7 linked regions of the Rattus norvegicus genome follow. The protein of the gene in region 1 purifies or fractionates together with the protein of each later gene. This does not show direct contact. Links are inferred from orthologs where the notes say so. Each region holds a gene or a part of one and is shown in the gene's direction. Other genes may lie near its edges.

What was found.
Region 2: the proteins of Xpo1 (region 1) and Nup62 purify together in Homo sapiens (affinity purification with western blotting; 4 studies listed by BioGRID and IntAct, with this or other methods). This does not show direct contact. The link is inferred for Rattus norvegicus from reciprocal best matches to the Homo sapiens genes XPO1 and NUP62.
Region 3: the proteins of Xpo1 (region 1) and Nmd3 purify together in Homo sapiens (affinity purification with western blotting; 3 studies listed by BioGRID and IntAct, with this or other methods). This does not show direct contact. The link is inferred for Rattus norvegicus from reciprocal best matches to the Homo sapiens genes XPO1 and NMD3.
Region 4: the proteins of Xpo1 (region 1) and Nup88 purify together in Homo sapiens (affinity purification with mass spectrometry; 3 studies listed by BioGRID and IntAct, with this or other methods). This does not show direct contact. The link is inferred for Rattus norvegicus from reciprocal best matches to the Homo sapiens genes XPO1 and NUP88.
Region 5: the proteins of Xpo1 (region 1) and Ncbp1 purify together in Homo sapiens (affinity purification with western blotting; 3 studies listed by BioGRID and IntAct, with this or other methods). This does not show direct contact. The link is inferred for Rattus norvegicus from reciprocal best matches to the Homo sapiens genes XPO1 and NCBP1.
Region 6: the proteins of Xpo1 (region 1) and Rcc1 purify together in Homo sapiens (affinity purification with mass spectrometry; 3 studies listed by BioGRID and IntAct, with this or other methods). This does not show direct contact. The link is inferred for Rattus norvegicus from reciprocal best matches to the Homo sapiens genes XPO1 and RCC1.
Region 7: the proteins of Xpo1 (region 1) and Bach1 purify together in Homo sapiens (affinity purification with western blotting; 3 studies listed by BioGRID, with this or other methods). This does not show direct contact. The link is inferred for Rattus norvegicus from reciprocal best matches to the Homo sapiens genes XPO1 and BACH1.

Annotation. Positions count from the first base shown.
Region 1 is NC_086032.1:101,461,867-101,465,465, forward strand, and holds part of Xpo1 (exportin-1), read left to right. Parts: intron 1-1,295; coding exon 1,296-1,493; intron 1,494-2,169; coding exon 2,170-2,308; intron 2,309-2,493; coding exon 2,494-2,832; intron 2,833-2,927; coding exon 2,928-3,091; intron 3,092-3,599. UniProt on the Homo sapiens protein: Mediates the nuclear export of cellular proteins (cargos) bearing a leucine-rich nuclear export signal (NES) and of RNAs.
Region 2 is NC_086019.1:104,434,553-104,438,889, forward strand, and holds the start of Nup62 (nuclear pore glycoprotein p62), read left to right. Parts: upstream 1-1,475; 5' UTR 1,476-1,534; exon of another isoform or gene 1,535-3,059; intron 3,060-3,196; exon of another isoform or gene 3,197-4,337. Other genes in the region: Atf5 (cyclic AMP-dependent transcription factor ATF-5), read right to left, coding at 49-226. UniProt on the Homo sapiens protein: Essential component of the nuclear pore complex. The N-terminal is probably involved in nucleocytoplasmic transport.
Region 3 is NC_086020.1:156,332,841-156,336,439, forward strand, and holds part of Nmd3 (60S ribosomal export protein NMD3), read left to right. Parts: intron 1-3,101; coding exon 3,102-3,180; intron 3,181-3,365; coding exon 3,366-3,462; intron 3,463-3,599. UniProt on the Homo sapiens protein: Acts as an adapter for the XPO1/CRM1-mediated export of the 60S ribosomal subunit.
Region 4 is NC_086028.1:56,188,014-56,192,303, reverse strand, and holds the start of Nup88 (nuclear pore complex protein Nup88), read left to right. Parts: upstream 1-1,474; 5' UTR 1,475-1,491; coding exon 1,492-1,794; intron 1,795-4,290. Other genes in the region: Rpain (RPA-interacting protein), read right to left, coding at 916-996. UniProt on the Homo sapiens protein: Component of nuclear pore complex.
Region 5 is NC_086023.1:65,221,584-65,225,182, forward strand, and holds part of Ncbp1 (nuclear cap-binding protein subunit 1), read left to right. Parts: intron 1-1,021; coding exon 1,022-1,129; intron 1,130-1,555; coding exon 1,556-1,677; intron 1,678-2,351; coding exon 2,352-2,421; intron 2,422-3,196; coding exon 3,197-3,412; intron 3,413-3,599. UniProt on the Homo sapiens protein: Component of the cap-binding complex (CBC), which binds cotranscriptionally to the 5'-cap of pre-mRNAs and is involved in various processes such as pre-mRNA splicing, translation regulation, nonsense-mediated mRNA decay, RNA-mediated gene silencing (RNAi) by microRNAs (miRNAs) and mRNA export.
Region 6 is NC_086023.1:149,825,544-149,829,792, reverse strand, and holds the start of Rcc1 (regulator of chromosome condensation), read left to right. Parts: upstream 1-1,361; 5' UTR 1,362-1,394; exon of another isoform or gene 1,395-1,575; intron 1,576-4,249. UniProt on the Homo sapiens protein: Guanine-nucleotide releasing factor that promotes the exchange of Ran-bound GDP by GTP, and thereby plays an important role in RAN-mediated functions in nuclear import and mitosis.
Region 7 is NC_086029.1:40,424,361-40,428,557, forward strand, and holds the start of Bach1 (transcription regulator protein BACH1), read left to right. Parts: upstream 1-1,360; 5' UTR 1,361-1,447; intron 1,448-2,459; exon of another isoform or gene 2,460-2,755; intron 2,756-4,197. UniProt on the Homo sapiens protein: Transcriptional regulator that acts as a repressor or activator, depending on the context. Binds to NF-E2 DNA binding sites. Plays important roles in coordinating transcription activation and repression by MAFK.

The DNA of each region.
Region 1 (3,599 bases):
CTCTAGTCTTTTTTTTTTTTTTTTTTCCTTTTCTTTTTTTTTCGGAGCTGGGGACCGAACCCAGGGCCTTGCGCTTCCTAGGTAAGCGCTCTACAACTGAGCTAAATCCCCAACCTTAGTATGTTGTGACATTACTATGTTCTTTTATTTTTTCTTTTTCTCTTTCTTTTTTTCGGAGCTGGGGACCGAACCCAGGGCCTTCCACTTGCTAGTCCACTGAGCGAAATCCCCAACCCTGACATTACTATGCTCTTCATTGTTATATGATATTTCATTTTTTTTAAGATTTTATTTATTCATTTTATATATGATGAGTACACTGTCACTGTCTTCAGACACACCAGAAGATGTTACAGATGGTTGTGAGCCACCATGTGGTTGCTGGGATTTGAACTCATGACCTCTGGAAGAGCAGTCAATGCTCTTAACCGCTGAGCCATCTCTCCAGCCCGATATTTCATTTTGAACGTGTTCATGTTTTGTGTTTACTGAGCCTTTATAGTATTTTATTTTGTTGAGACAAAGTCCTCAAAGTAGTGGTGTGAGTGAAATTGGGTTATATATAACCATCCACTCTCAAAGTTCTGTGACTCTAGTCTCTGCTTTACCATCATCTGCCACCATATGGCCTTGTAGCTGACTTCAAACTTGTGGTTTCCTGAGCATGGCGTGCAGTTTGTGCCTTCCTATGAGCTGGCACCAGAGCTATAGGGCGTAGCTGTGTGAAGAGTCTGTATTGTTACGTACTCTGGAAACATTGGAGGGCATGTTAGAAAAAAATTTGCTGCCAGTTTTCAGTCTGTTCGAGGAATGAAATTCCTTATGTATTTCAAAGATTTATTTATTTATTTTTTTATTTTATTTTATTTTATTTTGTATATGAGTACACTGTAGCTGTCTTCTAACACACCAGAAGAGGACATCAGATCTCATTACAGATGGTTGTGAGCCACCATGGGGTTGCTGGGATTTGAACTCAGGACCTCTGGAAGAGCAGTCGGTGCTCTTAACCACTGAGCCATCTCTCCAGCACCCTCCTTATGTATTTCAAATAATAGTTTTTTGGTTTTGCTTTTTGAGACAAGGCTTCCTCTGTAGCTCTGGCTGGCTGTCCTAGAGCTCACACTGTAGACAAGACTGACCTCCACCTGGCTCTCTACCTCCCAAGTGCTGGGATGGGATTAAAGGCATGTATGTGCCTAGATTCAGAATATTAGTTTCTAATTCTTACTAAGTTTGGGGAAGCAATTTGAAAATTTTGTGATAATACTAATTCCTTTGGTCTTAATGTGTAGGCTCTTCATTACATGTTGTTGGTGTCTGAAGTGGAAGAAACTGAAATTTTTAAAATCTGTCTTGAGTACTGGAATCACTTGGCAGCTGAGCTCTACAGAGAGAGTCCATTTTCTACATCTGCTTCTCCATTGTTATCTGGAAGTCAGCACTTTGATATTCCTCCTCGGAGACAGCTGTACTTGACCGTGTTATCCAAGGTAATGATGAACTAACCGGTGGTGAGCGCTCTCCAGCCTTACTATAGCTTTGATGCCTAAAGTGTTGGGAAGAGAACTTGAGAGGTTTTCCAGTTGTCAAGAATGTTTTAGAAGGATGTTTTTTAAGCTAACATCCTTGCATCATTTGGATTTACTAAAGTGTATGTTGTTCATTGGCTATCCCCGATCTAGTCATTCAATAAAACATGAAGTCTATAGATTAGAAGTTGACTGTTTATTGATAGGATCAAAAACACAGATCAAACGGGGTGATGACCTTTAATACTAGCACTCAGGAGGCAGAGGATGTGGATCTCGAGTTTGAGAACAACCAAGGCTATCCAGAAAAACCAAAAGAGTAAATTTTGAGATTAGAAAGCCTTCCCACTGCTGAGATTACAGACTTGCATCACAGAACCAAGCATTTTGCAATTGAAAGTGTAGGTAGGTCTTAATTAGTTGAGACTGACCTTGACCTCTTGGTCTTCGTGGATCTGCCTCCCAGGTTTTCACCAGCGTGTATGGCTGGCTATGCCTTAATTGAAAGTTTTATTTCCAACTTGGTAGCCAGTCTTAGCCTCTAAATAGGGGAGGGATCCACAGTCCTGTTGACCTATATTTGATGTGGCTTCTAAATGTCTTAACACAGTTCCTTTACTGGTTTATTGATCAATAGGTTCGTTTATTGATGGTTAGTCGCATGGCTAAACCAGAGGAGGTACTGGTTGTAGAAAATGATCAGGGAGAAGTTGTAAGAGAGTTCATGAAGGATACTGATTCCATAAATTTGTATAAGAATATGAGAGAAACATTAGGTAAGTAAATAAATGACAATTTTTATACTTTTTTGCCATATTTGTGAAAAGTAAATGTTTGGTCCAAGTTCTACATTTACCTGACTCCTTTAGAAACCATATGCTTACCAGTATGCTCTTAAACCTTAGCAGAAAAAATTTTGTTTTCATGTGAAACATCTGCATTTTTCTCTTGGTTTTTGTAGTTTATCTTACCCATCTGGATTATGTAGATACGGAAATAATAATGACTAAGAAACTTCAAAATCAAGTGAATGGTACAGAATGGTCATGGAAAAATTTGAATACACTGTGCTGGGCAATAGGCTCCATCAGTGGGGCGATGCACGAGGAGGATGAGAAGCGGTTCCTTGTCACTGTTATCAAGGACCTCTTAGGATTATGTGAGCAGAAGAGAGGCAAGGATAATAAAGCCATCATTGCATCGAATATCATGTACATAGTAGGCCAGTACCCACGGTTTCTGAGAGCACACTGGAAATTTTTGAAGACAGTAGTAAACAAGCTTTTCGAATTCATGCATGGTAAGTCTCACCTAATAAACTCATGGTATCTAATTTTACTTTTTATTTGTTATGTTGAACCAAAAGTGAATGAATGAATGTTTTTACTTTGCCAGAAACCCATGATGGAGTCCAGGACATGGCTTGTGACACATTTATTAAAATAGCTCAAAAATGCCGTAGACATTTTGTTCAGGTTCAAGTTGGAGAAGTAATGCCGTTTATTGATGAGATTTTAAACAACATAAATACTATAATTTGTGATCTTCAGCCTCAGCAGGTATACATGTCATATCATAGTGCTTATTATTAAACGTGTGTGAGCTTTTGCTTGTGTGTGTGCATGCATGTACACCTCCTATTTCACTGGTGCATGAAGAAGCTGGGAAGAGGGCATCAGAGACCATGGAGCTGGAGTTACAACCTTGACCACGGTGTGGGTGATTGGGCTTAAACCTGTGTTCCTGGCTCTGCAGCCAGTCCTCCTAAGTGCCAAGTCCCTGCCCAGTCCTTTGTGGTTTATAGAAGTGATGTGCTCATGGGTCATGGGTGGAGGGCAGCCTAGCACTTCACAGTGGGCACTGCTCTTGTAGAGAGGACTTGGGTTCCCAGCATCCAGATTTAATTACTCCTGTAATTCAGGGTTTGAAGTTCTCCATTGTCATCTTCCGGTCTCTTCAGGCATGTACACTTATGCACACATAGCTCCCCATTCCCACATGCATCCACACGGTCAAAGCTACAGAAACAGGCTCAAAATCGGGAAAATAAGTATTAATACAGTAAGT
Region 2 (4,337 bases), on another chromosome or scaffold:
CCACACCCCGCCACCTTAACCCACCTCTCTTTTTCACCTGTTTCTTACCTGCCAGGGGCTCTCCCCCCCCTGGAAGCCCGCCCTCCAGGGCACCCCCAAGGACCTCATAGGGGCCCAGGGGGGCAGGGGCCAGGGGGAGTTTCCCATAGTCTACGAGCCAGCCCAGCCCGCTAGCTGGGAGCAGGGCCCTGTCCAGCTCCAGTCCCAGGGTCGCCAGGAGTGACATGGCTGAGGCACAGGTGCAGGGCTGCGATGGCAATGGAGGCTGCACCAACAACTGGGAGGCAGCGTGGAAGATTGTTCAGCTGGGTGAAGACAGGCACCAAGGCGAAGGTGGAGGGCCTGTGAGGAAGACAAGGTGGCGTGGGTGGGGTTGAGTCAAAGCTGCTTGACCCACAAGCTACCCACACTTTTCTTCTTTCTGCAAATTCCAGAGCTCCATACATTCCCAAGGCAACTTTTGGAAACTCCCCAGCCCCATCTCCTCCCTCAACACAGAAACCTAGTGTTCTCCCAGGGGAATTACTTCCAGCCCCTCCTACCTACCTCATCTTATTGCTCTTCGTAAAAAAATTCAATCCCAAGGTAATTTTATTTTCTTCTAGCCGTGCCCCTTCCGCATCAATATTTTCTTTAGACTATACGCCCTTTAGAGTTCACAGGGGTTCCCAGAATAATTCTGCCATGCCTTGGGCCCTTCATCAGTGTTACACACACAAATCCCACTCTTCCCTTAAAAGTTTTAGGTGACTTCTACAGATTCTACGGGAAGCCCCGCCCACACTCCTGTCTGTCAAGTCAGTTCCCGCCCCCAACTAGCAAGTCCCTAGAGGCCCCGCCCCTTGGTTCTAGCTCCAAGTCTTTCTTAAAGGTGTTCTTTAGCCTTCCCTGTCAATCTAAGCCAGTCCCCGCCCCAGCAGGTGCCTGATTGGAGGGAAGTTGGACCAGTGTCAGAGCCTCGAGGAACTCCACCCTTCCTCGCTGATTGCTCGCTAAGCCGCAAGACGAAAGCTCAGACCCTGGACCGGATTCATTGTTACGCCACTACCCTCCTGGGGGGACCAGTGCGTGTGTTTAGCCAATTACCGGCCGCCCTCCGTAGTTCAGGCCGGGAATAAGGTAATGCGCATGCGCAATAGAGTGTGGGTTCGTATCCTCTGAGGGGAAAGGAGGAAGAGGGTCTGTGAATTAGTGCGCAGGCGCAATGGCGCGCGAACCGACCTTAAAAGCCCCCAGACTCTGCGGAAGCACACCCTCCCCCACGCCTGGAGCCTAGTGCGCTTGCTCAGCGGATGCGCCGGCCACCGACTTCCCTCTTCTGCGCCTGCGCGACCGTGGTTCCTCATATCGTCTTCCCCACCCCCTCCCCACGAGGCTGACCCGTGAAGCCCCGCGAGCTCTGTGAAAGGGCGGGAAAGGCGGTTGGAGAGGGAGGGGCGAGCGGTTACTCACTCCATGGCTGCGAAAAGGAGAGGAGGCAACGGCGGCGGCGGCCTCAGTTGAAGAGTCGGTGTGAGCAGAGAGTGAAGTCGCGGTGAGCGCGGAAACGGGGCGGGGGACACGACGAGATCGCGGCTACAGAGCCATTGCACGGGCGGAGGCGGCGTGGCAGGAGCGTTAAGGGAGACTGCTGAGAGGGTTGAAAATGAGGCGGCCCCGGGGCCTGGGAACAAATATACCGGGGGCGGCGCAGCGCGGGATGCCTGGATCCCTCCGCGCTCCGCCCTCGCGGGGCCCCGACGGGGCGGTGGCGACCCCGGGCCCGCCATGTCGCCCTGACCCTTCACTCACTGCTTCAGGCTGGGGGCCCGGACTCTGTTTCCTGTATCGGTTGGATCCTATTCGATCTCTCTTACACCCGTAACCAGCTCATCCCGTTATCTATCCCTGCTTCACAAATTTGCCACCAGTCCCTAAAACCGATGTCGCTCCGAGAGACCTCGTGGGTTAAGCTCATCGCGGAATGGCGAGTTCAAGCTAGCTTAGGCTTCATAGACGAGTTCAAGGGAGCAACAGCGAGATGTCGCTGTTTATAGATATACGCACAAATATACCAGCTATGGAAAGTAGGCCACGGAGTCCTAATCAGGACTCTTAAACCTTCTTGTTTGTTTTAACGTTTATTGTGTATGTATGTGGTGGTCAAAGAAGAGCTAGCAGGAGTTGGTTCTCCTACTATATAGTAGGGTCCCAGGGATGGAACTCAGGTCAGATTGTTTGGCAGCCTTTCTCCACTGAGTCATTTCATCTACTACTAAAATCGTTTTATTTTCTTTTAGATTAAGCCCCCACCCCTGGGAGGGGGCCTGATTTCACCCCTTTTTATCTCCCTACCCCCGATTCTTAGCCAGCCAACATATCCATATGATCATTCTGTGTGTCCCACCTCCAAGGTTTCTGTTTCCAGCCATCCCTACTTGCTACATGCTGTGCTCATCATGCCACCCTCTTAGGTTTTGCCCCTTGCTCTGACTTCCTTGCAGTCCTTGCTCTCTTGCTGACCCCACTAGATAAATTGTTTCTTGATCCTGTCTGTCCCCCAGGATGATGGGGCGGTTTTCCGCCCCGTGTTCGAGTATAGCCGTCATTCCATGTGGAAGCCAGTCAGCCTATCATATTTGTAGCAGCTGAGAGACTGAATGGGTGGAGATGGAACTCAAGAGTGCTTGCCTGTTGCACACAAGAACCTTAGCACCCAGCACCACATGGACGGTGCTTGGTAGTTGTCTATATTCCCAGCATTTGGAAGATGGAAGCAGAAGGAATCATGAATTCAAGGTCATACTGGCTGGCCTCAGTGTGTTTTTAAAAAGAAAAAGCTCAAAGGCCAGGCCTGGTATCTTACCTACTTAAGAGGCCAAGGCGGGAGTATTGGAAGTCAAGGTCAGGGCCTGAGCTGCTTTGAGATAGTTCAGGTGGTAATCTCTAAACCCAACCCTCTTGAGTTCCATCCCCAGAACCCAAAAGCAACTCTATAGACAGACGGTTGTCCTCTGGCCTTCACCATCACCACGTGTGGTGACAGGTCTGAATGCTGACTAGGAGTGTGATTTAAAAAAAAAAAGTTCATGGCTTGCCTGGACTAGAAAGTGAGTTCTTAGCCTTCTAGGGAACTTACAAAGACCCTGATTTAAAAAAACAATTATACTGGGCTGGGGGTGGGGGATTGGTGGCAGAGTATTGGCTAGAGTGCTGCTTTCCAGGACCTGGTTTCTATTCCTGGTACTGTAAAAGAAAAAAGATTGGAGCAGGTGAGGAAAACTGATTTTGAAAGTTACAAGCAGGAAGTCCTTGGCAATTTTACTCTTGGAGTGGGCTCTCTTAAAAGATTTATGTATGAGTACACTGTAGCTGTCTTCAGACACACCAGAAGAGGGTATCAGATCCCATTACAGATGGTTGTGAGCCACCATGTGGTTGCTGGGAATTGAACTCAGGACCTTTGGATGGGTCAGTGTTTTTTTTTTTTTTTTTTTTTTTTCCCAGAGCTGGGGACCGAACCCAGGGCCTTACGCTTGCTAGGCAAGCACTCTACCACTGGGCTAAATCCCCAACCACCACCACCACCCCTTTTTTCTTTTTTTCGGAGCTGGGGACCAAACCCAGGGCCTTGCGCTTGCTAGGCAAGTGCTTTACCACTGAGCCAAATCCCCAACCCGGGTCAGTGTTCTTAAGCGCTGAGACATCTCTCCAGCCTGGAGTGGGCACTCGTATCTGCTGCCAGTACAGGTAACCATGAGATGTGATGTGTTCAGACTCCAGCCCTAGCTTACCAGCTATGGGCTGCATTAATTCTGTGTGGAGTCTGTTTAGACTAGATACTGATGCATAAAGGCTGCCACTAATACAGAAGTGGAATGGACCCATGGCTTCATGCATTGCATGCTAGACAGGCATTCTACCACCTGAGCTGCATCCCTGGGCCCCACAGGTGCCCTTTTTTATTTTTGAAACAGTATGCCATGTTGCAATGCCTATGGTCCTCCTTTCCTTGAATTTAGTATTTTAAAGTAAACTTTTGGAATGAGATAGGTTTCAAAGACAGTGCAGAGTGGGTACCAGCTCATAGTCTCTTCCCTGTGGTGCTTCCGTCACAGCCAAGGCTGCACAACCTTTTTCTGTCCTGGGGTCCCACCCAGATGCTTCCCCCACCCCTAAACCCATCTTAATTTCAGTTGTGCTTGGTGGTCATCCTTGGAGGCCTGCCACCCTGAGCTTTGGCCAGTACCCAGCCCATGCTATGTGTCCAACATGTGTGTTATTCTTTGTCTATAACCCTTACCCAGTCTCAAATGGCAGCCTAGTTTCTTTACTCTCAAAAAACAAACAAATTCTTT
Region 3 (3,599 bases), on another chromosome or scaffold:
GTTGAGTGTATTACTGGTAGGCATGGGGTTGTCTCCATCATGAAAGATAGCTTAGTAATGTCTTGTGTATTAGTTTGTTTATTGGCTAATACCCAGGCAAAAGTGTGTTGATAAAGAAACTAAGCTGGGTGGTCCTGCATGCCTGTAGTCTTGACACTTGGGGGTTGGAGGCAGGAGGAACAAGCATTTGAAGGTCATCCTCTGTATAAGCAACATATGTCTGCGCAACATAAGAGTCTGTTTTGTGAAAGAAAAAAAAGAAGTATGAGACAGGGAACACATTTGTATTCTAGCTAAAGACCATGGTAGAAATTATTCCCACAGAATGCTTTGTTGTCAGAAGACTGGGTACATTTTAAAATTACTGCCAAACCCCAACACTGCAGGTATAAAAACCCTTCTTTCAACTAAAGTCTGTTTTCTTTACTAATTTAGTTGTACTTTTGTAACTCAAACAAAAATAATAATTGGAGCTGGAGAGATGACTCAGCAGGTAAGAGCTGGTGGTTCTTTTAGAGGACTGAGTTTGGTTGCAAACCCTTGTTTTCAGTGGTTCAAAATCCACCTGTAATTACAAGCTCCAGGGAGTCTAATGCTTTCTTTATCCTATTGGTACCTTACATACCTGTGCGCATGTGTGCGCGCGCACACACACACACACAAATAGAAACAAAGGGTGTATTTAAGAATCTAAAAATTCAAAGTATGTGTAAATAAACAGACCCTCCTGTACTTTGCCTTTATCCATGTGCCATCTCTAAAGATAATGTAATTCCTTAAAACAAAATATACTCTGAAAGTTCTAAGTAGTTGTCCTCATGTAGTGTTTCATTACTTTGATTTTTCTTTAACACATTTGGAAAAATTACCAATAATGCATATAGTTCCATTTAATTATTTTTAATTGCTGTCTGATAGTCCTTAGTCACTGGATATATAAATTGATTTATAATTGATATCAATTTGAATGGACTTCTAGTTATTTTTTACCCAGAATAGCATTGAATAATTATTCATATGTTCGTCTTTGTGCATGTATAATAGTTTTTCTTGGGAATTGATTGAATTGGAATGACTGCACAAAGAGAATCCAAATATAAATTTTGATGTCCCACAACAGTGCAAGTATACTTTCCCAGCACTAGTAAGCTTTCATTTGTCTAGATGTTTGCTGGTAATGGTTAAGAGAGTTACAAAGTTTGTCTTTTATTTTTCTTCAGTGTTATTAACTGTGCTTTTGAAGAACTTGTCCATTAAGCTATTTAGTTAGGCACTTCCTAGGCATAAGTCATTTCATTTCTTTTTAAGACATTGATCTCTTTCACATAGTTCTCCTATTTAATAATAATTTTTCATTACATTTATTTATGTATTTTTGTTTGTTCGGCCATATGCCATACTGTGGAATTTAGGAAACATCTGTCATCTTCAGGCATCTTTTGACCTCTGTCTTTGAGGCTATACTTATAGGTAGAAGTGCTGAGTTATATGGAATATTTATATTGATGGTTATGTTTGAGAAACCATATTTTCAAATGGCTGTGGTCTTTATATTCCTGACAGAAGTGTTGAAAGGTCCCAGATTCTGTCCTTTAATTGCTTGTTTATAGACATTGTAGAGGGGAGTCTGTAGTGATATCTTCCTGTGGCTTTTCCATTTCACTAAAGACTAATGATATGAGGCATATTCTACATATAAATTTATTGCCTATGTGATTTGCAGTATTTTCTCCTAGACTGTCTTCCTTTTCTAAATGTTGTTATTTTCTATTGTAAATACTTATTTCTTGTTTTCTTTTAAAATATATTTTCGACATGTATGAATGTCTTGCCTGCATGTATGTAAATGCAACATGTGTGTGTAGTGCCCACAGAGGCCAGAGGAAGACATTAGATGCTTCCTGGAATTGGACAGATGCTCCCTGGAATTAGAGTTACAGAGGGCTGTGAGCTGCCATATTGGTGCTAGAAACTGAACCAAAGTCCTCTGCAAGAGCCTCTTAAACTGCTTAGACATCTCTCCAGCCCCAGTTTTCAAGTTTGATGAGGTTCAGTTGTTGGGTAACAAGTTTTCCCCGGGGCTGGGAGGTGCAACGCATACATCTACTCACCCCAGATAGGGATTCCACTATGGACCAAAAGTTATGTCCACCACCAAAATTCAACTTGTTGAAGCGGTATGTTTTATTGGGGTTACTGACAGGAGTAGAAACTACTCAAAGTCAGCTGCATCACCAAAGCTCTCAACATGTGTGACAGCTCAAAAAGCTGGGAACCAGGACCATACTGTACACACAGGCCACTCAGCAGGTTGAAGAGTGTTCTTTCTAAGTGACTCATCTGGTCTAAACCTCTTCTAGGCACTTAAGGTTACAAAGGTATCCTATGTTTTATGTGCTTTACAATTTTAACTCATAGATCCTCACTCTTGAATTGATGTGAAGTGCCTAAATTCATCTCTTTTGGGACTGAAGAAATTATTCTTTCTCTATTAAAAAATGCCATTAATTGCTAAGTTCTGTTGATTAAATATCATAGCCTATTTCTGCAATCTCAAGTTTGCATGAGCTTATTATTTTATGCTAGTTCCATACTGTCTTAATTTTATGTCTAGAAATGTTAAGTCCTATGAATTTGTTTATTTTCCTTGGTATTGTTATACCTACTATGGGTAAATGAAGTTCTTATTTAGGTCTCATAAGTCCTTAGCAGTAGGTTTGTACTTGAGTGTTCCTTTGTTGATAGTGTTAAATGATTCTGCACTGAGATAGATATTGTTATCAATGACTGCTTTGTTCAGTCTCAGTATGTAATTTTTTCATGCATGTGATTTTAGTCATTTTTCTTGGCAGGTTTCATTTATTTCATTTATTACATAAGGTATTCTTTTTCTCTCTTGGCCTTGAATTTTGTTCTTGTGAATTAGTACGAATCTTGTTTTCATTTGTTAACATTTATTTTATTTGATTTTCATCTGCCTTTTTGCCAAAGAAGTCTTAATTGATATTCCTAAACTGTTTAGGCTATAATATTTTCTAATAGTATTGTGATGTGGTCCTGAAGAGGAAAACTCTTCAGAACTGTTTTTAATATTTTTTTAGATGGTCTGGATTTTTATTATTCTTCAAAACAGCATGCTCAGAAGATGGTGGAGTTTCTTCAGGGTACAGTTCCCTGTAGGTATGTTGTAAACCTAAATTTGTAAGTCCAAGGATATGGGAATAGGAAATATATAGGTCACACCTGTTCTTCAGTTTAGATAACTTACTTTGTTACAATAAAAATTTTAGTATGCACATTTAAACAATCATGAAATATTGAGTAGTCCATTTTATATTCTATTGATAATGTTTTTTTCTTAATAGATACAAATCATCACAAAGATTGATCTCCCAGGATATTCATAGTAACACATACAATTACAAGAGTACTTTTTCTGTGGAAATTGTTCCAATATGCAAGGTACTTCTTTTCATGTAATTAACTCTTATCTATAAGAGAATAATTTATTGGTTATAATTTATTGCTCCTGGTTTCCTATTGGCTGACTAAACAATAATAACTTCTTTCAATGACTTCTGACATGTTTAATTTTGTTA
Region 4 (4,290 bases), on another chromosome or scaffold:
CTGAATGAAGGCAGTTGGATACATAGTAACTGTATCCACAGACTAACTTCAGACATTTATATGGATTCTAAATTCCTGCAACTGTACCCATGGCTATAGTAATGGTCTTCTTGTACAATAGTTCTTTACAACCTGGGGGCCGGGGAGGGTCCCATGTATATGTGTGTGCCTATATGAGTTTATGTGCACCACACCAGTTACAGCCACCAGGTCTTCTGCAAAAGCATAAGTGCTCTTAACGTTGAGCGATCTCTCCACCCCCAAGTGGTTGTCTCAGCTCTGCTTGAAGAACTGCTATTGACTGATGCCACTTTGTAGGTAGAGGCGCCAAGGATGCTGCATCTAAGTGTTCTACATCGTACAGAACAATCTCCCATAATAGAACTTTCTCCTCAAAATGTCAGCATTCACTGTTGAGAAACACTACTACACATAATATTTTCAGTACTGTTTTTCTGGGTTGTTCTTCTGGAATACACCCATTCCTTTAGAGACTACTGAACAGGGAAATACTGCTTCAAACAGGGAAATACTACTTGAGTTCAGAAGATACGAGAGCTTACGTACAACTCTCCTAACAGTGACTGATGTTCTTCTGACTCTTCAGAAAAGAACTCCTCACGCCATGTGTGCATATGGAGTGCTTCCCTCTGTAACCCAACGTTAGGTGGTGATGTTGCTACTGCTGTAATGACACTTAAAATTTTAAACAAAGTCGGATCCTGGGATAAAATAATACCTACTCGGGCCAAAAGCCCGGGAGGAAGAGGGCGGCAGCCAGGACCCAGTCCTAAAGCAAAACACTTGAGTTGAAGATCACACAGGGCACCTGCTCCACGACGAATGCTAAAGCGAGCACACAGAGATCCTTGGGACAGGTTAGAAAAGTGATTACGACCCAAACCTCAGACTCACCTGCCTGAAAGTTTCTTTCCACGGGGGCGAGCCCACCTGCTTGTACAATAAGCGGTGCGGAGACCCCGAGGATTCGGCCATCTCATCCCTTAAGCGACGCCCAAATCCCCGCCCCCTGTACGCACGCAAAGGATTCTGGAAGTTATAGTTTCTGGGCGTTAGTCTCTTATCTCCGCACAGAGACAGATTTAGGGAAATCCAAGGATGGGTGAAGCAGTGGCAGTTGAGAAGTGGGCTGAGGAAGGTGAGAGTCTTGAGAGAAAGTTCTGGGTTTACCCAGAGGAAGGTGTCCAGTAGACAATCAGATATACCTCTCTCATTCTTAATGCTACTACACACTGGCCCAGCAGTAGCACCAAAGCCTTCCCTAAACCCACACTTGACTCCGCCCCGCCCAGCCCACTTTGGCGTCAACCTGCAGCCCTGTCTTTCCCCTAGCGATGCTTTCTTATTGGGTCAACTCCTCGGGATTCCTACTCTCTTATAGGCTAAAGCGTGGAATGCTGGCCACGGATTGGCTACGCGCAGCATGAGTTTCCCCCCCCCCGCCCCTCAATCGAGAGCTGTTGGTCCAAGATGGCGGCTGCCGCGGGGCCTGTGGGCGATGGGGAGCTGTGGCAGAGCTGGCTTCCTAACCACGTCGTGTTCTTGCGACTCCGCGAAGGTCTGAAAAACCAGAGTCCAGCCGAAGCGGATAAACCAGCGACTTCGACTTCACCTTCATGCCCGCCTCTGCCGCCGCATTTGCCGACGAGAAACCTGGTCTTCGGCCTCGGAGGGGAACTGTTCCTGTGGGACGCAGAAGGCAGTGCCTTTTTGGTGGTTCGCCTTCGAGGCCCCAGTGGTGGCAGCGTGGAGCCCCCTCTCTCCCAGTATCAGGTGCGCCAGTCTATCTTGAAAGCATTCAACCTTTTAGTTCGCTTCCCATCTTGGCTGCTTGTGGGTGTGTTAGCGGACTTGAGCAGGCGTCTTTTGGGAACGCCCCACTTCAAGTGGAAAGGTCCATCCTTCATTATTATTCCTCTGAACCAAGTTTATTGTCTCGGTCACTATCAGACGCTCAGAGGTGCTGGTGCTCTGAGTGGGAGAAAGGAGAAGGCCGTGAAATGATAAATGATCGGCGCTCTGAAGAAAAGAGCGTGATAAGTTTGGCGGAGATGTTTTTAGTGGTTTGGCCAAAAGAACCATGTTTAAAGAGGTGACCAACATTTTGGGTTATTGTGAGCTTTTTTTTTTTTTTTTTTTTTTTTTTTTTATTAATTGTGTATACATCATAAAGTTTTCTGCCTGCATGTATGCCTGCAGGCCAGAAGAGGGCATCAGATCTCACTATGGATAGTTGTGAGACACCATGTGGTTGCTGGGACTTGAACTCAGGACCTCAGGAAGAGCAGACAGTGCTCTTGATCCCTGAGCCATCTCTCTAGTCCTATTGTGAGCTTTAACACAGATTTAAAAGAACCAAATTGCCTGCTTGACATGAAAAAGGAAGTTCTGTTTTTGTTTCTGCTTTTTGCTCCTTTGGGTTCTCACTAACGGGTTCGTTTGCTGCCATGCAGGGAACTAAACACAAGCGCACACACACACACACACACACACACACACCCCTTTGGCTTCCCCAGGGAACGCACCGGAGTTGGAACTCTGAGCTAGATCCTCAAACCTTTTTGGCATCGACGAGCAAATGAATGGCATGTCAAAGTGGATATAGTCAGAATGTATTCTAGACTTGCTGTGAGAACTATCATTACTTTATTAAAGTGTTCATTTGTAGTTCTCTTGTAAAGACATTTTTTTAAAGCCAGGACTGGTGATACAGGTCTTTAATCCCAGCACTGCGGTAGCAGAGGCAGGAAGATCTTTTTGAGTTTGAGGCCAGCCTGATCTAGATAGTTCAGAGACTACTTAGACCCTGTGTCAAAAAGAGAGAGGGGGAAAAAAAAAAAGGAACAAGCAAACAAAAAAAAAACCCAAAATGTGGCATTCCAATGTAAAAGATCCAGTTCTCACTGGATTTGATGTAAGGTGCAGCCAGTGCTGTTGAGAAACTCTGTCAACATTTACATATCTACCTACTGTCAAGTTTCCATTAAGTATCAGAAACTCACAAATTATTTCAGTTAATTGTTTCTTTTGATTTTTAGAGAATGGTCCCACTGTGTAGCTTAAGCTGGTCTGGAATCACTATGTAGCCCAGGTTAGCCAGAACTCCTGCCTCAGTCTATGAGTGTTGCGTTTACGGATCAGAGTCAGGCCAGCTTTTGTGTGTGAGAGAGAGAGACAGACAGACACAGAGAGACAGACAGAGACAGAGACACAGAGAGACAGAAGGAGACAGAGAGAGTACACTTGGCTGTATGTGACAATCCTATGTTACCAGACTGACCACAAGCTCCTAATCTTAAGCAGTGCCCCAGCCAGAGTCCAGGTAGATACCCGGATCCAGCATGCTGTGTTCAGTTTCAGTTAATAGCAATCTCATTGCTATGTAGCATTCGATGCAGTAATAATTACTTTAAAACTTTTGTTGTATTATCTCATTTATAAACGCCAAAACAGAGGCTAGGCCTCCTTTATTTTTTATGACCAGTATCTGACGTAAACCTAGAGCAGGCAAGAGCTCCGTAATGTTTGTGACTAGCTTTGGAGGTGGGGGTCGGGCTTGAGACAGTTAACAGCCTGAGTTGTTCTGGAACTCAGTCTGTAGAGCACGCTTACCTCACTAACAGATCTGGAGGCTCCTGATCAGGATTAAGCCATGCACTACCACTGCCCATCTGTACAACAGACATTTAAAGACACATGGGCCTACAGATAGAAAAGCAATTAGAAATGTCATTGTATTCAAAGAAAGCCTTATTTGAAACGGTTTTGGCTTAGCATAATCCTCCATACCAAGGTAAATAATATATTGACATTGACAGTCTCATCATTACTTACTAAGAATAAAAAGAAAATAGAAATCCAAAATGGTCCTAAAAAAAGAAATAGAAAGTACCAGTGTCAGAGTATTTTTGAGGATATGTGATGCTATGACAAATTATTGACACTCCCTTAAAATATCACTCTTTTATTAACTCCACATAGGTGAAGCAGTACTGCTTGTTGCAAAGCTCCTGAAGCTAATCCAGGGCCTTACTTGTAGCCTTGGGAGGCCTGAAACTCAAAGAGAGCCACCTGCATATTCTCCAGTGCGGGAATAAAGATGTGCACCATTTCACTTGGCCTGTCTTCTTTACTCGACAGTGCTGTTTATAAGATGGTTAGCTTTTAACACTTCTGAGTTTATTTACTAGGTATCAGGAGTTTGCTTGATGCCAGGAACACAGAGAGGATATTTAGGAGTGCCTACTAGGTTGTGTCATGAGAAAGTTT
Region 5 (3,599 bases), on another chromosome or scaffold:
TAGTCTAATTGGCCAGCCCTTGTAGGCACCTAGCATCTTCTCCCACTTTTCACTTCTCTCCCTCCCTTCCTCCCTCTTAACCTCTGCTCTAGAACCTAAGCCATACCTATTTCTCTTCTGCCCTGCTGTAGGCATCTTTACTGACCAATCGGGGATAACTTGTGGGGCAAGGTTGCAGAGTATCACTTGGTTAAGTGAAGATGACCTGGTTCCTGAGGTGACCAGGGCTGGTATTTAGTATTACAATACAGAACTACAGCCAGCCTCAACAGTTAGCTCTCAGTAGCTCTTCTGGAAAGGGTGAGGCCTTATGGGCTCCGTCCTTATCCGTGAAGGAAAATTGACCTGCCCAGTTTTGTATATGTTTTGTGTAACTGCTGTAAGGTTGTGAGTGTTGTGGCCATGTCCTGTCCAGAAGACAGCATTTCACAAACTCCTCCCAACCTCTGGCTCTTAGATTCTTTCTGCAGTACAGAGCCTTTATGTGTCTTTTAATTTACCTTTTAGTGCAAGAGTGATCCCTTTTTGTTTAGCTCGTGGTTGTCCCACATAGGCTGAGCTCCTAAAATAGTTCCTGAGCACTGTTTACTGAGTCTGGCACATACCAGACACCCAGTAAATGTCTCTCATTTAAAACTTCTGTTTCTATATTTCAGCAAAAATGATTCCTAGCCAAACAGAAAGACCAACCTACTTCAGTAGAATGGAGTAACTGGAGTATTTGAATGTCTGGGTGCTAAATGTAGCATAACCTGGTGTGCTGTAGTGCACGTAACCGAGTGGGCCTGAGCTGCCCCCACTGCAGGTGTGCTTCTGGGCACTGAAATTTGAATTCATGTCGCTTTGTGTAAATATTGTTTTAAGCCTTACATTTAAAGATTTCTTGGCTGACAGGTCCCACAAACAAGAAGATAGTAAGCTGGGTATAGGCGTGGGTTTTAGTTTCGTAGGCTGATATGAGGTTGTTTTGTAAGTTATGAAGGACTGTTAGGTTTGATACAGATATCGTTTACCCTCACAGGTCCGTTTTCTGTCTGATCTTGTGAACTGTCATGTGATTGCTGCCCCATCTATGGTTGCTATGTTTGAGAATTTTGTAAGTGTAACTCAGGAAGAAGATGTGCCTCAAGTAAGCACCCTTTATCTTGAATCTTTTCTGTGCAGCACCGTTACTGAGGTTTTTGTTTTTGTTTTTCCCACTGAGAACAGCAATAAAATCCAATAACATTATCACACTGTAATGTTTAATATCTGAAGGGCAAGTCAGCTGTCTCACTGGTGGGTCCTTTTGATATCTTTGTGTTAATTCAAATGATTTTAATAAGATTAGAAATAGATATTTGGAAATTCTCTGGGTTAGCCAGATATTTTATTTAAGCTCTATTGAAAAGCCTCCCCAGTATTGCATTTATAAATAAAAAAAGGTGTGGCGGAAGGGAGTTGTTTAGCCCAGTTATAGAATGCTTGCCTAGCATCTAACCGTGGAAAGAAAGAATAATTAATAAATAAAATTAACTAGCATGCACTTTTTTATTACCCTTTTAAACTTGTTCAGGTGCGACGGGATTGGTATGTGTACGCGTTTCTGTCATCCTTGCCCTGGGTTGGGAAGGAGTTGTATGAAAAGAAAGATGCAGAAATGGACCGCATCTTCTCCAGCACCGAAAGCTATCTCAAGTAAGGCCATCACTCAGGTGCGCTTTGTTGTTTGCATAAAGATGTCTGCTGACCCAACAAGTGCCTTAAGTTCTCTGGTAGCAGCAGCACCGTTTCAGTTCCATTTTAAAAGACAAAACAGAACCATAAAGTTGTAGAAAATGTTCATTAAATTGCATTCTCCTGCTGCGGTGACTCACAAGACCTCAGGACTTTGTTAGTGCATCAAGCTAGCAACGAGCCTTTCAACACCGCGTATGACAGCGCCTCTGCGGCTCTAGTGTTCCTAAGCTGAGAGTCACCTGTGGCTCAAAATTACCCTTCTGCTCAGGCTGCTGAGTTGACTGGACGAAGTTCAGACATGATACTGATGACATTACATAGACATAGAAACATAGAAATGACATTGTTGGGTAAAGATTCAGAACAGTTGAGAATTTTGACATATGTAGTCAGATTGTCTTCCAGAGACATAATCTCTTCCAGAGTTGAGGTTGTACCAATTAACCCTTGTGCCATCAGTGGTTGAGATACAGAAATGCCTATATCCTGATGATATGTAGACCATTATCAAAAACGTTGATCTGCTGATCTGATGGACAGAGATGTCTTTCATTGCTTTAGCTAATCATGAGAACCATTGAATGTCTTTTATGTTTTACACCCTAAGTGTAGATTTTCATTTTTATCTTTAGAAGACGCCAGAAGACTCATGTGCCCATGTTACAAGTATGGACTGCCGATAAGCCACACCCCCAAGAAGAGGTGAATTGACTTCCGTCTTGTAATAGAAACGCAGCTCTTGAGTGGATTCTGATCTCTGTAACATGCTTAAACTGAGTCAGTGAGATGGCTCAGTGGGTAAAAGTGCTGCTCCCAACCCTGCCTGGCATTCAGTTCTCAGGACCACATGGTGGAAAGAGGGACTGGTTCCTGCAGGTTGTCCTCTGAGCTCTGTAGTGCTGCACAAATGAGTAAAACCACAGCCTTAGAAAATGTTCTGACTGTTGCATCTGTACATCTTGGCTGGGTTCCTAATGTTTCCAGTGAGAAATTCATTTCCTCAGAGTCTGAAGCATAGTCGGAGCTCTTTAGTAGATGGTAGAATGTAATTGAAACACCCCTTTGCTTTTTAGAATACCAGTTTTCACAGACTTGACAAGTTTTATATCTAAATACTCAGTTTTAAAAATAGCAGAAGTGGGGCTGGGGATTTAGCTCAGTGGTAGAGCGCTTACCTAGGAAGTAATAACTCTAAATGTGCTTCTGAAAACAAACTGCTTAAGGAGAAATGGAATGCGGGCGGCCTGAGATAGAGCCGGGACTGCGGAGGGAGAGCGGCCCTGGCAGGAGCTGCCCTCTGACCTACATGCAATGCTGTGGCAAGTGCATGCACATTAATGTAATTTTAAATGAAAACAAAAAATGCCGTTCCTTACTACTATATGACATACTGATACATGTTGTGTATTCTAGAGGGTCGACTTTTCTGTATTGTTTAACCAAAATGTGTCTACTAAATATTAAAATCTCTTTTTAGTATTTAGATTGCCTGTGGGCCCAGATTCAGAAATTGAAAAAGGACCGGTGGCAGGAAAGGCACATCCTAAGACCCTACCTTGCCTTTGACAGCATCCTCTGTGAAGCACTACAGCACAACCTGCCTCCTTTCACACCACCGCCTCACACCGAAGACTCCGTGTACCCAATGCCCAGGGTCATCTTCAGGATGTTTGACTACACAGACGACCCAGAGGTAAGTCAGTGACCGAGATCTCCCGGAAGGGCCTGGCTTCAAACTGTACTTGTGACTTAGTTTCCTTTGACTTCTGTCTTCGATATCTTGAGACAGGGTTTCTGGATTCCAGATTGGCTTTGAGTTTACAAATTCTCTTATCTCAGCCTTTCAGGTGCTGGGATTACAGGCTCGTACCACCTTGCCC
Region 6 (4,249 bases), on another chromosome or scaffold:
GTCACTCTCCCCGGGCTCTGTCCTAGTGGCGTACGGGAGCATAGGGTACCGCCCGATGATGTACAGTCCCTTTCCACAACGTTGGAGATGAAGCTGGGCTTCGAGTCTGCGCCTGCATATTCCTACGACTTCTCAGAGTCCTGTGGACCGTGACTGAGGAGACAAACCATGCAGGAAACAGTCTTAAATCGCAATCTGGGGGTGGGTCTGCGTACTTTAAGCGTTTAATTTACTGACGGAGTGTCTTCTATTGCAGAATTGATGAGTGATCCCAAAGAACTCATTGAGGTACGTTCTTTGTTCCGTGTGTCTAAGTTAATAGTGGTGGGACACTAATTGGGGTGTGTGTAGTCTGTATTGGTTGAGTTTGACTGATTTTTAGAGTACTAACCAGACATTCCAACGTGGATACCCCGGGAGGTCACTCTCCCCGGGCTCTGTCCTAGTGGCGTACGGGAGCATAGGGTACTGCCCGATGATGTACAGTCCCTTTCCACAACGTTGGAGATGGAGCTGGGCTTCGAGTCTGCGCCTGCATATTCCTACGACTTCTCAGAGTCCTGTGGACCGTGACTGAGGAGACAAACCATGCAGGAAACAAAAATTTAAAGGTGATAAGACTTTTGCTGTGCCGCCTTCGGGAATGTAATGTTTGTGGTATTTTTTTTCCCCCTCTTTCAGGAAAGAAGAGGATCTATCTGTACAGGTGCCTGTTGATTTACTTGATAAAAGACTTTGAGGCCTTTTAATTATATGCAGCTTGGTGAAATCTTGTCCATATTATGGCCTCATCCATTGGAAGCTGGACAAGCTTTTGTGCCTACTCAATTTTGTCTGGCAATTACATTTTCCATACAGGTTGTGTCTAGATTTGTGAAAATGAAGCATGGTTCTCCTTTTTGAGGTCCAGGAGGTTTCCCCAGGACCATGTTATATAAACTTTATATTTTTTGTTCCCATGTTCTCTGTAAGATTGTAGCCATGAGTTCAGATCCAGAATGGGTTATTCGATCCAGTTGTAATCTATGAGTCTTTGTGATATGCCTGACAAGTTTGAATTAAAGCTTTTTGAATGCCTTTTCTTGTGATTTAATGTGTGCATGCAGACGGCTACAGATGGGTTCAAGATAAACCGAGTGAATGTTTGATCCATCCAAGTACTGAAATTACATTCCTTCTGCTCTGGTGATAGTGTTGGGTGGGAAACTAGTCAAGTGAATTTGGGAGGTTAGTCCTAAGCAGTTCAACTTGGACAGTCCTAAAACTGGGTAGCCTTGTGATAGAAGGTGGACAGATCCTGAGGTCATAATGGGAAGTTGATGACTCCTTGCTGCCTGCCTCCACGGAGCAGTCAGGGCCCTCAATGATGGGGGCATTGAGGGGGCACCTCGAAGGTAGGCCTGAAGATGCTGGTATGTTTCCCTGTTCTTGGAAATAAATTGGGCCTGCAGTGGGGCAATACTTGCATCTGTGGCCCCCTCTGACAGAAAGGGTAGATGGAGCAGCATTCTCAATAGACACTAGCTAATGTTTATACTCCAGAGTGGAATCCGGTGACCTTGGGAGGTTCTGTGTGTAAGTCTGCCTTCAGCTATTTCACCTGCCCTTAAGTTTCTTGAGGACCCTGGGTAGGAATATGTACCTAGGCTTCAAGGTGCAAGAGGAATTTTTCTTGAGGTCAGAGACTAAATCTTGCATTCTGTGAGATGAGCTGCCTGGATTTAAAGTACAATTTCTGTTCCTATGCAAGCACCCTTGCTTCAGAATTGCCAACCTCCCAGTTTCAGAGGTTGTCCTCAATCACAGTTGTCTTGGTAACCTTCAAATGCCCAGCTACGTAGACATGCTTACAATTTAATGCTTAATAAGTATACAGGACTGGGGAGTGTAGCTTAATGCTTGCCTTACTGTGCATGATACCCTAAATTAACAGGAAAGGTTAGTCCCAGGCAGAGGCCATCTAGGGCTACACAGTGAGTCTTGTCTCCTAAAAATGTTGGGGAATCTTACCAGTGGTGGCTGCTCTTCCGGGGGTCTTAGGTTCAGTTCTTGCCAACCACTTGGTGCCTCAGAACTATGATGGGATCTGATGGCCTCTTGTGGCATGTCCATACATGCACACAGAACAGCTAAGATCCCAGCCAGTGTATAATAGATGGTTCCCTGTGAGTCCTGACCTGGAAATCTGTAGATCAGGTTGACTTCAGGCTCCACCTGTCTGTGCTGTAATTACAGGTGTGCCACAAACAGGGTCTTATAAAGAGATTAATGATGGGGTTAGCGGGAAGCGCAAGGCCCTGGGTTCGGTCCCCAGCTCCGAAAAAAACAAAAAAAAAAATGGGGTTAGCGATGGTTCAGTGGTTAGTGCACCTGATACATAGCAGCACCCACCTAATACCCTGGGCTCCATGAACACAGGCATGTAAATGCAGAGAGAGCATGTATGCACTTAGACACAAGTATTTAATAGCTTAATCCTGAATAGAAAATCCCGATCCCCCATCTATGATTATTGATAACTTGCTGGACTCTCCCTTTTGTCTTTCAACACAATGTTTCTGTAGCCTTAGCTATTCTGGAATTCCTTCTGTAGAGTGGGCCGGCCTCCAGCTCATAGATTTTCCCTCCTCTCCCTCCCTAAGTCTGGGATTAAAGTCTTAACCCGCCTCCTTAATTTTTTTCAAGATTTATTTATTTATTTTTTTTTTTTGGTTCTTTTTTTCGGAGCTGGGGACCGAACCCAGGGCCTTGCGCTTCCTAGGTAAGCGCTCTACCACTGAGCTAAATCCCCAGCCCAAGATTTATTTTTTTTAAAAGTTTTCAAGTATATAATTTGTGCATCAGTGTTTTGCGTGCACATGTAACTATGAAAGTGTCCGCTTCCCTATCTAGAGCCCTATACTTCTGAGCTGCCATGTGGGTGGTGCTGGAAATTGAACCTGGGTCCTCTGGGAGAGAGCAATCAATGCTCTTAATGGCCAAAGCATGTCTCTAGCCCCTTACTAATGTGTCAATGTTGCCTGCCTGTGTTTTTGTGTACCGTGTGTATGGGAACCCCGAGAAATGGACTTAGATGGTTATGAGCCACCATGTGGATGCTGGCACTCCAACCAAGTTTCTCTGGAAGAGCAACAATATTATTTTTATCTATTGCTGGGGTGAGGTATTTGGGTGGGGGGGGGGCGGGGTTTCTCTATGTAACCTTAGCTGTCCTGGAACTCTGCTGAGTGCTCAGACTAAAGGCACGTGCCACTCCTTCAGAACAACAATTTTAACCTTGTTTTCTACCTCAGGTTTTGTGGGGGGAAAAAAAAAAAATATATATATATATATATATATATATATATATATATATATAGCACATGGGGAGATTTTATCTAAATGGCCTGAGAAATGGCTCGATGGGTGAGGGTTATACCACTCTTCAGAGAACGGGAGTTTGAGTCTCAGCATCCACATTTAGCAGCTCCAGAGGCTCCAGCACCTTCTGCAGTCTGCATGTTTGTGCATTCCCAATGCACAAACCCACACATGAAGTTAAAAATAGATGGCTTTGAAGCTGGAGAGATGGCCCATTAAGAGCACTGGCTGCTTTTCCAGAAGCCCGGACTGAGTAGAGTTCCCCAAGTGGTTGTGACTCACAGGTTGAGAACCAGTGATTTAAGCACAGGGACTGTTAGCAATGTGCTCAGGGAAAGGGTACATACATGGGCTTCTCCAAGCAATGTGTAACTGTCTATACACACACACACACACACACACACACACACACACACACACACACACACACACACGTGGGCTTCTCCAAGCAGTGTGTAACTGTCTTTACACACACACACACACACACACACACACACACACACACACACACACGGGCTTCTCCAAGCAGTGTGTAACTGTCTTTACACACACAGAGCAAGTCTTCAGAAAGTGACTGAGAAATGGAATGACCTTGGGGTGTCCTGGGTAAGATTCTGACAGATTGTACCCTAGAGGTGTGGAGACTTCAGTTTATTGTAAACAGAACTGTCTTTTTGTGAGAAACCCAGAAAATGCACCTCTGGGAAGGCAGTGGGGCCATAACCAAGTTCATGTATGTGCAGGCTTTAAGCATGATTTACTGCTTATGCGTACACTGTAGCTGTCCTCAGACACACCAGAAGAGGGCATCAGATCCCATTACAGATGGTTGTGAGCCACCATGTGGTTGCTGGGAATTGAACTCAGGACCTCTGGAAGAGCAGTCAGT
Region 7 (4,197 bases), on another chromosome or scaffold:
CATGTCAATGATATTACTACTGGGTAGCAACCCCTTGCCTGGAGCCCCTGGCCTGTCATGTGTGTTTAAGGAGTACATTGCATTTTGGGGCTACCCATTTTTCTGCATCTTTCCACTAGAACTCAAAGCCAGCAACACGATTTCTTTCCAGAAATCCTACCAGGGCTACACGTCTCAGGGGCTACAGGCCTCTGGGGTGGTAATTCCTTCCTCATTTCTAATCAGGTCAGTCAGCCCAGCACACCCCTTCTCCAGACTGATAAGCCTTGTGGAGAGTGCATGCAGCCTTGCAGAAAGACACTGCCTTGAACCGTGAACATAATAAAAAAAATAAAAACGAACAATTGGACAAGCATTCAAATAAGTAGCTGAGGATAAAAGCAGGGGCAGGACTTGAGGAACGATGGCTGACATCAACAGGACATTGAACCGGCGTTCATGGTTCCTGGTGGTACAGCATAGAAGGACAGAAGTAGGCTACCAGATGCTTAGTACATTATTCCGGATGTAAAGGCCGGTACAATGTGTTTGCTTGTTGGTGAATACAGCTAGTAAATAAGAGTGCAGATTATTCAGGCAACTGTGAAGGGCACAGGAATTACTCTCAAAGCAGTGTCGGGCTGAGTACAAGCAGCGAAAGGATTTGATCAGGGAAGCATGCATATTAAAGGGTTATAATGAGCAAAGCACAGTCCAGGTTACATACATGCCTTGTGGTTTTCGAGGAAGGGCCTCATCGGACACAAACAACTTGAAGGGGAGTTAGTGATCATTTAGAAGGGCAACAGCCTTCTCCTCTCAGAATCTGCTCCTAAAAGTCCTGCCTAGCTTCAGACAGATGTTGACACACCCTTTTCGGCAAGTTCAAACACTTGGTTCTCACGCTCCTACAGGAAAGCAGCACAGGAGCTTAGCTGAACCGAACTTCCGAGGTTTCTGGAGGTTGTGGGGCAGAAGACCCTAACCTAATCTGTTGTGTGTGGGTGGCGAGAACAACAACTCAGGGGTCGTGGAGACGTCAGGTTTTTCTTTTTTTTTTTCTTTTTTTTACCTTCAGCAGGTTAGAGGAGGTGGTCTCCCGGGACGTGTAACCTTGCCACCAAAGGCAGAGGAGGTAGGGCACGCGGTTGGAGGCCTGGGCACACAGTACTTTGCTCCACAACGTTACACCGAGTTCGCCCAAGGCGAAATAGAGATCCTACCAGCGGAGGGCGTGGCCTGGAGCGGGGCGTGGCTCAGACACGGGCGTGGCCTGGAGCTCGGCGGGGCTTCAGCCAGGAGGCGGGGCCTGGGGCGGGGCGGGGCTTTAGCGCCGGGAGGCGCTGGCGGCGGTGGCGGAGTGGAGCGGAGCGCAGGGGAGGAGACGGGCGGCCGTCCGCGCGGAGGGAGTGAGTCACCTGACCGCCGCTTGCCGCCTGCAGTCGGGCCGTGCCGCGCCTCGGCTCCGGTGAGTGGCTCGGACGGTGCGGGCTGCCGTCCTTCCCGGGGGTCACCGGGGCTGGTGGCGGGCGGCCGCGCGGGCCTAGAAGGGGCGGCGGACTGCGTGCTGTTTACGCGGTGCGCGGACACTCCGGGTCGGCCGTGCCGGCGCCGCCCTGCACCGCGCTCCGCGGGCCGCGTCCCGCTCCGCCTGCTGCGGGGGCAAGGCCGAGCCGGCCGGGGTTCCGGGACCAGCCGGCGGTCCGCGCTCCCCTTTGTTGTAGCTCGCCGCACGTTTGTAATTTAGACTCGCACAGCATAGGCAGAGTGGGGTCTCGATGATAGACATCAGCTTTGTGTTCGTGTCTGGTAGCGCCAGGGCCAACGCGTTCTCGATCTTCTCCGGTACTTTGGTGTCATTTAGTGGAATTGCGCCGCTGGCTTTTATGTAGTGAGCTCTCTACGCTCAGCGTGCGCTGAGTCAAGGCAGACGTAGTAATTCTGAAAGAACGTGTGTGGGAAAATCCAGCTCCTGCGACAGGCTTGGAAGAACAAAGACTGTTTTTGCAGGATGCTGTTCTTTTTTGGAGAACTGTAGTGTTGTGACTGCTTGCCTCGGAGGATGCCCCTGCTGGGTCTTTGTTTAGGTATTCGAGCACTCCTTTCAGACTACTGTGTTTGCAGGGAAGGCAGTTCAGAAAGATTAAAGGATGAGCACCGTAGATTTGTTACTGGTCGAGCCTTTGAGCGCTACAGAGAAATGGGAAGAGGTATGGGTTGGCCTATTCTTCCTGCTCTTGTGGTAGTGGTGCAAGCTCTGGGCTGGGCTTGAAGGCGCTTGCCACTTCTGGCTTTGGACCTCATAAGGGAGTCTAGGGGAAAAAAGGCTCCTGGTGAGTCATCTTGGAGTTGAGTAGCTTTGGAGGAGTGATCGACTCTTGTTGTTTAACCGTCGTCGGATCTGTCAAGTGGCTTCCCTTTGTTCACTACGTTGGTTGGCTAACAAGGTAGGGTGACTCTTTAAAAGAGTTTGTGTTGCTGAGTCATTCACCCCAGTCTGAGAGGTAATTAGGAACAGCTGGTGCAGATACGCGCATCACATGCCTCCACTATAAAAGGGTGAGCTGCACACACGAGGGCTTGCTTCGGGAGGCCGGAGGGGGCCCAGCTGCGGGCTGTGTGTTTTGATACAGGTAATCAGTAGGTGACGTGGGAGAGCATGCTTAGGACGTGGCCAAGTAGCATCTAGGTGGTGTTTAAACAGCAGCCGCGTGGCCTACTGCGGGAGAATCAATTTGTGCTGGAGGAAGCGGTGTCTGAGGGATTTCAGGTAGAGGTAAGGCATTCAGCAGTATTGTAACAAAACAGTATTGTAACATTTCCTTCTCTTGCTGGCCTTGCTTTGCCGTTAGCATTGATGCGGAGTGGTGAATACATGCATAGTTATTCTTTATAAAAGTTATTTTTTTTTTATGAGGCCACAAAGGGGATTTCCTTTTAGGGCTTTTAGGTTTTCCCGCATAGCTAGTTTTTGGGGAGAAAGGTGGGAAAGGATAGAGTCAGCAGGTCTTCTTGGGTCAAGCCCAAGAAGAGGGGTCTATGTATGTCTCTTGACTTTATGGATCTTGTGGGATTTCTTTTTTGCCTGAAAAAAAAAATGAACACACACTCACACCAGTCCTCCGTGTAAAGTTTGAAAAGGAAACGTGTCTGAAGGGGAGGAGAGCTGGCTTCTTATGAAATTTTTTAACATTTATTTATTTATTATTTATTTGTTTGACACTTGCATTTGTGGGTCTTTCCATTTATCCTGTGGGTTCTGGGGCATGGACCTCAGGTCATCAAGCTTGGTGGTGAGTGCCTTTAACCACTCAACCTTTGCATGGTCCCCAAGGATGATACTGAATTTTTTATTATTGACGGTTTTCCTTTCAAACATCTGTAGCAGGGAAGCAGTTGGTGTGCTGCTTTAGATTTAGGGATTATCAACATGTCTTTTTAAGATGTTAGGAGATTTCAGGGAGTATACAGAGTGATTGATCTAACATGAAAATACCCACAGCAAGAAGTTAAAGAAGCAGAGTGACATCAATGTCTGCATATTAGATAATGTGGTTATACGCACATCATCCCTTTTGTCTGTTGAGGGATAAAGTTTGCTTTCCACTGCTATTACCGCTATTCCAAGTCTGCAACAGACACTGTGTGTGTGTGTGTGTGTGTGTGTGTGTGTGTCTGTATTTTCTGATCTCTTCCTGAGAGCTGTAGTTATTTCAAAATATTCTTAGTACTTACTTTTCACTTCATGTATAGTTTTTGTATCGTAAAGACCGGAAGATGTAAATTTCTTACTACATTCTTAAAGTTAGTGATAGAGATTAAAAAAAGTTACATTTTGATAACATTTTTTGGATTTGTAGGCAACCCCCTAGGGCGGTTGGTGAATGTGTGTGATCTGAACAGTAGTGGTTAGAATTTGGGATGTGATATTTATAACAAAAACTTTAAATTTTAAGGTAAAAATTCTCTTACGCTTTGGAGGCCTGTGGATTCCCCCTCTTTTTATATTCTTTTGATTATTCTTAAAACTGTGCATTTAGGTAATCCTTAGGAAGTGGAGTTTCTTAGACTGCCAACCTCTTGGGGTAGTCACTAATTTTTTATTTACATATTTGTCTTAATTCTCTGTCTCTGTCTCTCTGTCTCTCTGTCTGTCTGTCTCTCTCTCTCTGTGTGTGTGTGTGTGTGTGTGTGTGTGTGTGTGTGTGTGTAGGTTTG